3 linked regions of the Coturnix japonica genome follow. The protein of the gene in region 1 interacts with the protein of each later gene in a pairwise test. Links are inferred from orthologs where the notes say so. Each region holds a gene or a part of one and is shown on either strand. Other genes may lie near its edges.

The links. The genes of interacting proteins can lie anywhere in the genome.
Region 2: the proteins of NCKIPSD (region 1) and STAC interact in binary tests that used the Homo sapiens proteins (3 or more experiments, as listed by UniProt). The link is inferred for Coturnix japonica from reciprocal best matches to the Homo sapiens genes NCKIPSD and STAC.
Region 3: the proteins of NCKIPSD (region 1) and PSMD9 interact in binary tests that used the Homo sapiens proteins (3 or more experiments, as listed by UniProt). The two-hybrid records come from large-scale screens. The link is inferred for Coturnix japonica from reciprocal best matches to the Homo sapiens genes NCKIPSD and PSMD9.

Annotation. Positions count from the first base shown.
Region 1 is NC_029527.1:6,680,393-6,683,902, forward strand, and holds part of NCKIPSD (NCK-interacting protein with SH3 domain), read left to right. Parts: intron 1-2,070; coding exon 2,071-2,151; intron 2,152-3,368; coding exon 3,369-3,497; intron 3,498-3,510. UniProt on the Homo sapiens protein: Has an important role in stress fiber formation induced by active diaphanous protein homolog 1 (DRF1). Induces microspike formation, in vivo. In vitro, stimulates N-WASP-induced ARP2/3 complex activation in the absence of CDC42.
Region 2 is NC_029517.1:41,873,378-41,877,550, forward strand, and holds the start of STAC (SH3 and cysteine-rich domain-containing protein), read left to right. Parts: upstream 1-1,369; 5' UTR 1,370-1,757; coding exon 1,758-1,874; intron 1,875-4,173. UniProt on the Homo sapiens protein: Promotes expression of the ion channel CACNA1H at the cell membrane, and thereby contributes to the regulation of channel activity.
Region 3 is NC_029530.1:4,891,479-4,895,724, reverse strand, and holds PSMD9 (26S proteasome non-ATPase regulatory subunit 9), read right to left. Parts: upstream 2,805-4,246; 5' UTR 2,803-2,804; coding exon 2,650-2,802; intron 2,576-2,649; coding exon 2,473-2,575; intron 2,179-2,472; coding exon 1,991-2,178; intron 1,433-1,990; coding exon 1,331-1,432; intron 1,183-1,330; coding exon 1,094-1,182; intron 766-1,093; coding exon 738-765; coding exon of another isoform or gene 679-737; 3' UTR 88-678; downstream 1-87. Other genes in the region: HPD (4-hydroxyphenylpyruvate dioxygenase), read left to right, coding at 3,063-3,065, 3,169-3,195, 3,670-3,732, 4,013-4,117, 4,210-4,246. UniProt on the Homo sapiens protein: Acts as a chaperone during the assembly of the 26S proteasome, specifically of the base subcomplex of the PA700/19S regulatory complex (RC).

The DNA of each region.
Region 1 (3,510 bases):
CACCTACCAGTCTGGTGTCCCCAAAGTCCCTCTGCTTCAGGAGAGCTTTCTGAGTGCTATTTATTCACTTGCTGCCACTGGTGCTGCTCTGGATGAAAAAAATATGCCATGCTTTGTCTGGCAATGACTATGTTTTTCAGGATGATGCAAGCACGTCAAGGAATGCAGCCTTGGCTGCATTGGAGCACTCCTAACACTTTCATGGTATGTGCTGAGTGAGTGCACCAGGTTGATGCAGATCTGCTCCAAGTTCAGCCTTCAGACTGTTCTCAGCAACCTCACATGCAGCATCCTTAGCAGTGGAGCCTGCCGTCAGCTGCCACAAATGGACATCATTTCATGGCAGATGGGGCAGGGACGTGTGTAACCACCCTCCTCCCCCATTCCATGTCTAATTAATCTCTTCCTCTATGTATGTTCCAACTGTGTGTTCAGTGCTGGCTTCTGGTTCTCAGATCGTTCCATTGCTCCGCGTGCAACAAGAGAAGTTTTCTCTGTGAAAGTATTGTTAAGAACACAGGAACAGCAGCTCCCCATATCTGCCTTCTGCCTCACCCTGCCTCTGATAACCAGCCGCAGGCGCCTGGGATGGAGGTGAAGAGGTCTTGTAATGAACAGTTAGGAAAACAGCACAGCCAGACATGGGACGTGCCCGTGGTGGCTGGGTGGTGGTGCCTGGAAGCACCTCTGCCTGTCAGCTCTGGCTGTGCAGGTGCCTGTTGCAGCTGTCAGATCTTCTTTCTATTATAGCGAGCTTTGGTATCACTGACACCTTATAGCTGGGAGCTCCTTAGATAAGAATGAATTAGATTTAAGTTACTTGGTGTTCTCCCTCTCCTTTTAACAGGAGCAGACAGCAGTTTCCAGCTTTGCTGCCACATTGTCTGGGCTGCTCTCATACAAACTCATAATCTTGTTAATGCGTAGTATCTCTAGCTGGGCCCCGAATGATACATTTTCACTGAAGTGTTTGCTATTTCAAAGCTCAGGCGTCTTGTGGAGCTTCAACAAAGTCTGCACACTCTTTGTTTATAGAGCCTCTGCTGATGGGGATGGATTCCTGGGGTTATTGGGCTGAAACGATTCTCTAGCATTTCTTCCCTCGTGCTAAGAGTAAACCTGCAAGCTGCCAATTGCTGCAAGTCTGTTAGACAACTCCAGGAGCATTAGGGATGAAGAAGGCACCAGCCTGTGTGGGCAGAATCAAATTGAGCTTGCTAGTGCTTAGCAATGGATTGATTTGTGAATGGAGAGATCTTTCTGGGTCAGAGGGGGATCCAGAACCAGGGAAACATCGTACATGGAAGGCATGTTTTTCTTCAGCCTCACTGCTCAGGACCAAGGCTGCATTTTGTTATCACACAGATCATATTCTGCGACTTCTGTTTCCCTGCAAACATCTACTGAGGAGTATCTGTTAATTACCGTTCAGGGAAGGCACTGACTGTGGAATATTCACTCGGAGCTGCTGCCAGCACAAATGGAGTTGGACCAGCGGGGTGTGGAGGTGGTGGAGGTGTGTGTGGCCTGGGCAGTGGGCACAGGAGCAGCCTGAGCCATGAGCAGGGATCTGGTGGGTCTCCCCAGAGACTTTCCATCCCTGCAGGCAGAGCTGAGGTAGCAGAAGTGGAGCAGAGCAGAGGTGGTATTGAGCAGCACAGCGCTCCGGGGGCGGCGGTGGTTGGAACAGGCGGCACTTGCAGGTGGCCAGATGGATGCTTTTTCTGGGTTCAGTAATTACATAACTAAGGGCCGTGTCCTGGGTCTGTGCAGGGGAGGTTTTTTGTTATCCAGGTGGAGTTTGCCCTCATCCTCTGAAGTGGATGGGGAAAAAGACGCAAAACATGAGAATTTTGTTGTGGTTATTTTTAAATGAATTTAGAAATGCACGGTGCAGAAGGTGTGTGCTTAAAGAGGAAAGAAAATGTCCCCATCGTTCAGCAAACACAGAAACAAAGAGCAGTGCAATCAGCATGAGAAGTCTGTAGTAAATATGTGGCTTACCAGCTGGGGGTGCTGCACCACACCCTCAGAAGAATCAGTGGCAGAAGCTCTGTGTTTCTCTTGCAGATCATCAGAAGATGTGCTACTCTGCCCTGGTGCTGGCAATGATATTCTCCATGGGGGAACCCCTTCCATACCATCATTATGGTAAGAGCAGCCTGTGCGTGTGTCAGAGCTGGTCATGGGTTACCTGGGGATGGAGCTTTTGTGGGGAGAGCTTGGGGAAAGCTCAATGTCAGCAAGGTGAGATTAAGGTCTCCTTTTCACCACTGGAGTGTCCCTGCTGCAAACACTGAGCCAGAGATGCCAGGTTTTCAGAAAGAGCAGCACAAGCATTCTGCCTTGCTGCAGAAGCAGCAGTTTGCCCAGCACTGTGGCTCAGCAGCTTACTTGTCCAAATATTTAGTCATACTGGAGCCCTGCACTACAGCACTCACCTCTCAGTTGCCTCAAACACATTCTTTCTGTTGCTGACTCAGATCGCTCCATGAATGTCCACTAAATCCACCAGCTGCATCACATGGCCTCTCCCTGCTCTCCCTTGTAACAGGGTGGCACAGCCCTGTGAATTTCAAGTTCTTTGTGCGAGTGGAGATGATGAGGAGTATTGCAGTCAAGAGGGAAGTGCAGATGTTGCTCCAGATCTGCCTGTTTTACCCTTTCTTTCCTTTCAACCTTCAGCTAGAAGGTGCTCTCTGTGCTTCTTCCCCAGCCGTGTTGTGTCCTCAATAGTTGGGAAACTCTGGGTTTGGTTTCTCTAGGAATGCAATGAAGATTTTTATAATCATCTCCTCAGCAGCTTCACCTTAACACTCCAATAACCACATACAAGGTTTAAGCTTGTGCAGCGGGGACTGAGGAGCGAGTCTCCACATCTCCTGCTTTTCTCTCCTCATATAACCCTGGCAATTATTTCCAGCAGGTGGACTTATTTGCATGAGCTCCTGAGCTTTCCTAATAGCTAAATTGAAAAACGGGTTATTACTAATGATCTGGATGATTACTTTTTCTTTTTTCTAAATAGATGGATTAGACCAGTGGTCAAGAATACAAATCTCTTCCTACCTGAAGCCTTCATTGGTGCCAAGGGTGCTGGAACAGCAGCCAGAGCGGAATTTGGCATTCTATTTACTTGAATAATGAATAAAAAAAGCCAGTGGGAAATGAACAGTCAGCATTTGTCTGAGCTGTGGCTGACTGGGAGCCATTTGTCTCTTGCACAAAACCATTGGTTAATTTCCTGGTGGCTAACACTGCCACTCTAGTAGTGGCTTTAAGCCTAAAAGCATGAAGTGGCTCACGTGGTCCCTTGTTGCTTGTTGTACTTTACGGATGATGTAAGTGCCATCTTTATCCTTCTGCAGAACATCTCAACTCTCAGTTTGTGCAGTTCTTGCTGGATGTGATTGAAGACGGGCTGCCTTCAGACACCACCGACCAACTCCCTGACTTATTCATCAACGTCCTTCTGGCTTTCAATCTCCACATTCCAGGTCGGTTTGGTGC
Region 2 (4,173 bases), on another chromosome or scaffold:
CTCAGATGTCATTGAAACTGCCTCAACACCAACCAGTGCTCTTGTTTTGATCCCTGTAGTAGTGTTAGCAGCTACAGGCCAAATAATAGATTCTGCTGGCAGACTCCGAAAACACACTTTTGCTTTAAAGTGGTGATACAAATAGCAGTGCAGCATTTCATGTTTATTGTCTGCTAAAGATTTCAGTATCTTATATGCTCTATTTCAAAGAAAAAAGCTTTTCCCCCCCCCCCCCAAATGCTGGTACTGGAAATTCACCAGAGATTCAAGGAAAAGTATAGTTTTTTTCCAGACTTCAGCATAGTTATAAAGAATATTGAGGCTGCAGGGCACTTTCTGCTCTGGCTTTCATCTGTACAACCCCTAGTGTCTTGAAATCCCGCCTTGCTTTCACCCACTGATAGAGCAGTCCTACAGGGCAGCCCCAGGTAGCAAGTATGTTTCTAAGCGGTAGGACCAAAGTGAATCTGGTACCCTCTCTTGAGTTCCTTTCTGGCTCAGATGTCAGTGCATCACCTCCAAACACCTTTGCCTGTACCTCCAGGAAAAACACATTAGGTTGCTTTTATTCTTTTTTCTTCCCCTGAAATATAAAGAGACATCTCCGCCAGCTGCATGGAGCGGATCTCACTCCACAAAGCGTACATGCATTGGGGAGGACATCCATTCAACCTTTCGCCACACAGACCTGAAGTCAGCAGGGAGGAGAGCATACAGGTGCCTTTGCAGCTGATTTAACCCATAGGCATGATTTGAGGCTGACAGCAAAGTCATGCTGTCCTTCCTCCAGGACTACCGCAGCTCTGAGAGTGACTCCGGGCACTGCGTCCATGGGAAAGACGGCGCCTGGGGATGCCGACAGCTTTCCCACTGCAGCCTGAGTGTTATTACTATGACAACCTACAGGTACGGATCTGCGCAGCGCCGGGAGCTCCGGCAATCCCTGACTGCATGTGCATGGCTCAGAGCGGGGTCTCCTGCCTAGGAGAGAGGTAAAAAGCACTCAGAGCCACAGGTGCCCCTCCCTGGCTCTGTCCTGTCGCTTTGGGGTGTAAGGCAGTGTGGGTGTTTAAGAGACATCAGCAGGTAGGATTTTTAATCATCTTCTCTGGGACAAAGTAAGAAGAGTGTTGCTTTTCTCCTAGAGTCCTTCTTCAGAAAATCACCAGAATATAAAGCTGCCCTTCAAACTCTGCCTTCCTCAGCCTGATTAAAAGGTAAAATGCTCCCACACCTCATGCATGCTGCATGCCTGTGTGTGTGCATGCATGCATACAGTACTTTCTTACACTACTATGACAGCACATGCTCCCCAAAGCTATTCAAAGCATTAGAAATACAACTCCTCCCTCCAGTGCCCTGTATGTGTGTGGCTGGGGCTTTCTGCTTTGCCTCACTCCCAGCTGATTGCGGGCTGATGGTCACGACTCTGCTCCTCACCTCCCGGCTTCACGCTGAGGAGAGAAGGATCAGGGAAGACGGAGAAGCCGGCACACAACTACCCTACAGAGCCGACGATAACTTGCTCCCCGCGCAGCAGAACCTTACAGGGGAGGGGAGGGAGGAGGGAGGAAAGAAGGGGAGGAGGAGGAGGAGAAGGAAAAAAAGAAAATCCAGAGAATTCTAGTCCTGCAAATGTGACTGGTTCAGAGTTCATTTGCTCGAGAAGAGCAGAGAAGAAAGAGGACATTAAATGAGAAAAAGCAAGAAAGGTCTGTAGCTTTTTTTCCTGATACTAGCAGTCTTTTAGAGGGAAAATGATTCCTCCGAGCAGCATGACTGAAGTCAGCGTGGACAGCGTGGAGAAAGAGAATGAAGTGGAGAGCACAGAGCAGCCCCCATCTCCAGCATCAACCACCAGCCAGGAATCTAAGGTACTTATATCTCTCTTATTTCTGTCTGTCTGTCTTTCCTTTTTCTTTTCTTTTTTTCCCCCTTTTTTTTTTTTTTAACAAATATGCATTGCTCTGATCTGTGTTTGAAGCTCAGTGGCAGGATCAGCAGTGGAGCACTGTGAGCCACCTCCGACTGCAGTCTGCTCTGACATTCCTACTACTGAATTCTCCCTGTCACCCTGGAGGCTCAGGGGTCTGAACTGGGGAACATTTGCTTTTTGAGATGGTTGGGTTAGGGGAATTTCGGGAATTTTCACCTCTTTATTACTCTAGGGACCTGGAGGAGGAAAGGGGGTCAGGGATAGGATCACTGCCAACAGGTGATTTTAGCTGTTTTCACACTGATCATCACATCACTTACAGGGTTTCTGTCAGTGGCTGGAATGATTTATTTTCTCATGTATCCAGAGAGGACTGTTTTGGTGGGTGACTTTGGATGTTCCACTTCCCTCATCCATGCTAGCAGAGCCATCAGTGAACTTTCACTGTTTAATGAGCCAGTAGTTGAAATGGGATGTAAGTGACATCTTTGGCACAAGAATCCTTATGTACACTACCCAGAAAAGGATGTTTTTATCCCAGCCTTTTATTTATTGATTACTAAATGTGGTTCAATTTACCTTAGTGGAAACCAACATCCAGCTCAAATGGCATGGCCACTACATTTTTAATTGACTAGTACAAGAAAAGTTTTCCTGCCTGCCAGTATGTGACCTGGAAGATTGAGTAGCACGGGAAGGAAAGTAGTATCCTGAGATAATGAATGTTCTCTGCAGCTTTCCTGGATAATGTGATTTTACTGATCCTCTGCTACTTACCTATGATTGATATCATGATAGCAGCTGCCAGATCTTCTTGTAGACTTCCACAGTGATGCTGTGTGCTGGGTAAACGTATCAAAACAGGGAGGTCCTCATCACTTGGAGCTGACAGCTGGGTAGAGGCTTAGAAAGTCCCAGGTGAGCAGAACAGCTGCCTGACAGGGAAGGTCTGTGTTGGCCTGAGTTTAAAAGGCGCTGGCTGCCTGGTATAATGTATGAAAGCTGCTGTGTTATTCTGCAGCTAAAACTAGGTTTCCAGAGTGTAAGTTGCAAGAGACTGTGTGGGAAGAATTCTGACGTAGGCTTTGGGATTTTTTTTTAAATGCTGTACTCCAAGGAGAAGAACTAAGGTATCCCCTATGTAAAACAACCTCTGTAAAAGAGTTCTCCCAGCAACAAAATCATTCCTTGTTCATGTTGTTCACTATATGCATTCAGCACTACTGGGACGCTGCTGCAGTCTCCCTGGTGAGAAGGGAAAGAGTAAATGTGATATTGGTTCAGCCCTAAAAGGATTCGGTTGACAGGTACCTAAATCCTCCCACAGAGTGCATTTCCCCAGAATTGTTGGTATTTGTCTAGTGGGGAGCTCAGCCCCCTAGTGAGGTCCCAGTAGGAACTGGTGCCTTTGCTGCATTGCCAGCATCAGGTCCTCACATGTGCTGTACTGTGTCTGGGCCAGGTGGGATGAGTGCTCCCTCTGCTCCCAGGCACAGCCAAGAAAGTCGTTACAGAGCTGAAGTGCTGCTCACATGAGGGATTTACCCACAGAGCACTCAAATCTCCCAAAATGAACAGACAGGCAGGAATCCTAAAAAAAGACAAAGCAAAGTGCTGCATGTAGGGATCCTTCTTGCTCCTTATGTATGCTCTCAGAAGGATGTCAGCAGGAGTTAGGCATATCTAGCCAGAGAGCAAAAAGACTACTAAGCAGTTTCTAATCAGACATTACCATCATCAATTTTTCCAGTCTTGAGAGCATTAGGAGTGATACACTGCAATAGGCAAAAGCCATGACTGTGCAGTTGATGCCATCACTTGCATACAGATATTTTAAGTAAACATGTAATCTGTGTATTCACATCTTAGAACTGCAAATAACATCCGAAACTGTTTTGTATTGTCATTTCAAAATATGGAATCCAAAGATCCCTCTGATCATTAGGTTAATAAGATTTTTTGTCCCAGTAAGCAGAAGGATGGAAAAATTATCAGTGATTTCATGATACCTTTTTCAAGAGAGTTTATGTACTTCAAAAGCCCTAACAAAGATATATGTCAGTGTGTGCCAGTGGCATGTGCATTAGCTTTCATTCCACTGCATCTTCTGCCTAGGGTGCTATCTTGTCAACCACGGAGGGTTTTGCTTTCTTGACATACCCTCTGTTGTGTAAGTTAACAGGTCCATGTCTTCTACAGTTACTGCAGATCAGTTTGTGCAGGGTCTAATTACCCCA
Region 3 (4,246 bases), on another chromosome or scaffold:
TCAGGGAAGAATGATTTCATGTCTCTGCAGATCTACTTTTAACCTACCTGCAATTACAGCCCCCAAACAGCAACTTCCACAAGAAGGGAGAGAGACACCACTCAGCTTTATTCATCGGGATGAATACTTCAAAGTTCAACTGGAAACAACCTTACAAACAGGAACAATCCCCCCAATTAACAATTAACATAATAAAATAATTAGGTACTCCAAAATTGCTCTCTTATTTGGTGATTTCCAGCAGCTATGAACACATGAGAGTTAAAGTAACAGATCTGTGTGTTTCTTGAGTGTGTTCTACTAAGTTAAAGAAGGAAAAATTGTTCCAGGTCTTTGTATCCTGCTTTACAGGATGTTCAAATGAGGAATTTCAAGGAAAAAATGAAGGAATGCCACGTTGTCACCAAGTAAAAGCACTTTATGTTCTTCCCAATCTGTATCAAGTGAAATCCAAGTTACACTGCAGCCTTACTCCAAACTGACGCAAGGCACAAAGAGATGAGAAGCCACTTCCTGCAACTCTGTGAGTTGCTCCTCACAAACCAGCGCAATTCCAACTGCATTAAGGTCCTGCTCCATCAGAACCTCTTCAGACCCTGCAAGCTCAGCCACCCAGAGGTCACAGCCCCTGAAACACCCATTTCAGCAAAAACAAAGGTCACAGGGCAAGCTTTCAAATCAAATCAGAGTCCAGAAAGCAGGCACAAGCTTCATCTTTATTGTCTTCCCAGCAGTGGTCATCTTTGCAATGGAGTGATATTGCAGCTGAAAAAGAAGAGTGGGGAAGAAAACATTTAAATCTATGTTCCGAAAGAAGCTTAGATGATCCAACACAGCACAAATCAGATCAACCACAACCCTCCTCCATTGGTTTCCTCTACTATAGGAAGGAGCCACTGAGATCTTCAGCCCCATACCCATGACTGATACAACTCATCACCCCGTATAGTACCAAATTGACAACCCCAGCTCTCAGCTGGACTCTGCCTGTGAGACACATCAGAGCAGCACAGAGCGAAGCAGAGCTGGTTCCTCCTGCAGGAGACGTGCCCTGAGCTGATAAGAGCCCCCTCCACTCCGACTGGCAGCCTACCCCAGCAGGCCCTTCCCAGCCCAGCGCTTCGGAGTCAGCCCCAGGTGCACTTGCTTGCCATTGCGGATCACAGTCACACTCAGAGGTCTCTGGGAGAAGCAAAAAAAGAAGATGAGCTCTCTCATTTCCATTATGAAGAGCCCAATGGCTGTGGTAGCTTCTCTGGCCGTTCCACAGCAAATGCTGTAACTCATTGGGAGAGATAAGAGAACGCAGTTACAGCAGAACCAAACTTACCCCTTCACTATGCTGTACTACTGTGGCGATGTTCTGCAGGCTCTTGAAGTTGTTTGCATTGACAGAACCAAACTCCACAATCTCATCATCAACCTGCAGACCCTGGGCAGACAGAAAGAAGCTGAACGTCTGTGTTCTGTGATGACAGGTAACACTGCCTGCTCACAGGAGCTTTCATCCAGCCGCACAAGCTGTGCTAGGACACCACCCTTCTCACCATTCAGACAACTGAACATCATACCATGCCCTTAGAAACAAGGGCACACTCATTTTTCTGCTCTGTTTTATGAGAAAACAATGAGGCTGCAATGAACAGATAAGCCTTGTAAGAGCTGCGTGGTGCTACGATGCAGCAGACAACATGCAATTTCTGATCCCAACACAGGGACAAACCAGCTCACAGGGACAAACCAGTGACACGGCCACAAACGGGCAGCTCCCTCCATGGGAACATTCAAGAATAACTGCACTGGTTGAGAAGGTGAATGAATATTTGACAAACACAGAATGAAGAAAGTGTGAGTGGGATAATAACAATAATCAGTATCTCACAGCTTATACCTGCCTGTTAGCAGAGGAAAATAAGCAACACATCCCCTATTTCCCCTTCTTAAGCACAAAAGAAGCCATCCCCATCCACTGGCAGCCCCAGCAACGTACCGCGATGCTGGCGGGTGACTCTGGTGTCACCACGTTGACTTTGGCAAAGGCAGTTGGCAGATTTTGGCTCATGGCCTCAGCTCGCGCCTCCGCCTCATCCCTGGCGTGTTTCTCCTTCTCGCGGGCGTGCAGCTGGTGCAGAGCCTCCTCCACCTGCTTCATCAGCGCCTTGTGGTCGTTCTGCAGACCTGCGGGTGGCACCCAGCTCAGTAAGAAGCAGAATCACAGCATCGCTATGGCTTAAAGGCCCAACACAGCCCACAACCCACCCCACGTCCCTCAGTACATCCCACAGCTCCTGAACGCCCCCAAACCTCCCTGAGCAGCCGCCCCCTCTCGTCCTATCGCTGTTACCCGGAGCAGAGGCCGACCCCACCCTCCGCACCATCCCTTAGGGGCTGCAGGCAGCGCTAAGTCCATCCCGAGCCCCTTTTCTCATCCTGAGGAGTCCCCCACGCCGCTCCCGTCCCGTCCCCACTCACACGCGATGTTGTGCCGGGCTGTTCGCACTTGGTACAGGTCGATGTCGGCCCTGGGGAATCCCTCGCTGTCCACCAGCGGCCCGTCCATGCCCACGCCCTTTTGCTGAGGGGAGAAAGGCCGCGGTGAGACCCTCGGCAGCGCCCCGAGCCCCGAGCCCGGCCCCGAGCCCCGCTCACATCGTCCAGCAGCTGGTAACACGCCCGGATCTGCGCCTCCAGCTCGTCCTTGCGCCGCACCAGCTGCTGCACCTCGCTCAGAGTCATGGAGCCGCAACCACCGCGATCCGACATGGCGGCGGCAGGAAGAGACGCAGCGGGGGGAGAGAACATGGGGCGGGGACAGAGAGCAAAGGGGGCGGGGGCAGAACGGGGGGCGGGGATGGGGGGGGGGTGTCCATGTGGGGGGTGATGGAGGTGATTGAGGTGATGCCCCCATGGCCGGGCAGTGCCCCCGGGGCGGGCAGTGTGGGAGGAGGAGCCGCTGTGCTCTATATCAGCCCCGCTGTGCTCTATATCAGCCCCGCTGTGCTCTATATCAATCAGCCCCGCTCAGGGTCGCGTTCTGTGCTGCTGTCACTGCGGGTCACATCATGGTGAGCGGGCACAGGACGGAGCGTTTATGGGGGACACGCTTCCCCCGGCCCCGCTGAGCGCTCAGTGCCCGCTCACTCACCGCCTGTCCCGCTTCTCTTGCAGACGACGTACACGGACAAAGGGGAAAAGGTGAGTGGTTCCCTGCTGGGGGACACCCCGTCCTGTGCCCCATGGCTGCCCCATGGCTGCCCTGCAGTGCTCTCAGTGTGGCGGTGGAGCAGCGCTGGGTGCTTTGCTGCCGGGTGAATCGTTAACGCTGCGGGTTAGTGAGGACAGGCTGCAGGTTTGGGTTGCAGCTGCCATCTCCTCCTCTGTGACCCAAACCCTAAACCCCAAACCCCAAACCTCCTACTGCGTGTTTCTATAGGACCAGATGCCCCTGGGCTCACTTCCAGGCTGACAACTGGGTGTTTTGCAGCCACTTTGCTCCATGTGACCGGAGCCAACGCTGTGTGCAGAACAGCCTGCATGCAAAACACTCCAAAACATCATCATGGCGGGGGGCCATGGTGACATCCATGTCACTGGGTGCACCTGCAGGAATTGCATTGGGAAGAGTTCCATCTGGAGGGACTGTACAACTTCTTTTCCCTTTCCCTTTAGCACCAGCGAGGCCGCTTCATCCACTTCCACTCCATCACCTTCTGGGTGGGCAATGCCAAGCAGGTAGGGGGCCGCAGGGCTGGCGGCGGTGGCCATTGGCTGCCAGGGGATGGTGGGGCCATGTATGTGTGTGTGTGTGCTGACAGCAGCCCTGGCCAGGGGCCACGGCCTTGGGCCCTTGCGCAAGGTGGGGGGTGGATGCAGGGGGTGCACACAGGGCAAAAATGCAAAGGAAAAGCAAAAACGCGTCACCGCACACAGAACGGGCTGTACGGCTGTGCTGGGAGCACACAATGGCCCCGCACACACCGCACAGCCATGCACACACCGTGCTGTGCTGCAGGCTGCCTCCTACTACTGCAACAAGCTGGGCTTCGAGGAGCTGGCGTACCGCGGGCTGGAGACCGGCAGCAGGGAGGTGGTGTCACACGTCATCAAGCAGGACAAGGTGTGCAGTGTGTTGGGATGCACTGAGCAGAGCTGGTGGGATCCTCCCTCCCATCACTAACTCTTCCTTCCTCCCATCCTCTTCCACCCCAGATCATTTTCGTCCTCTCGTCGCCGCTCAATCCAGGCA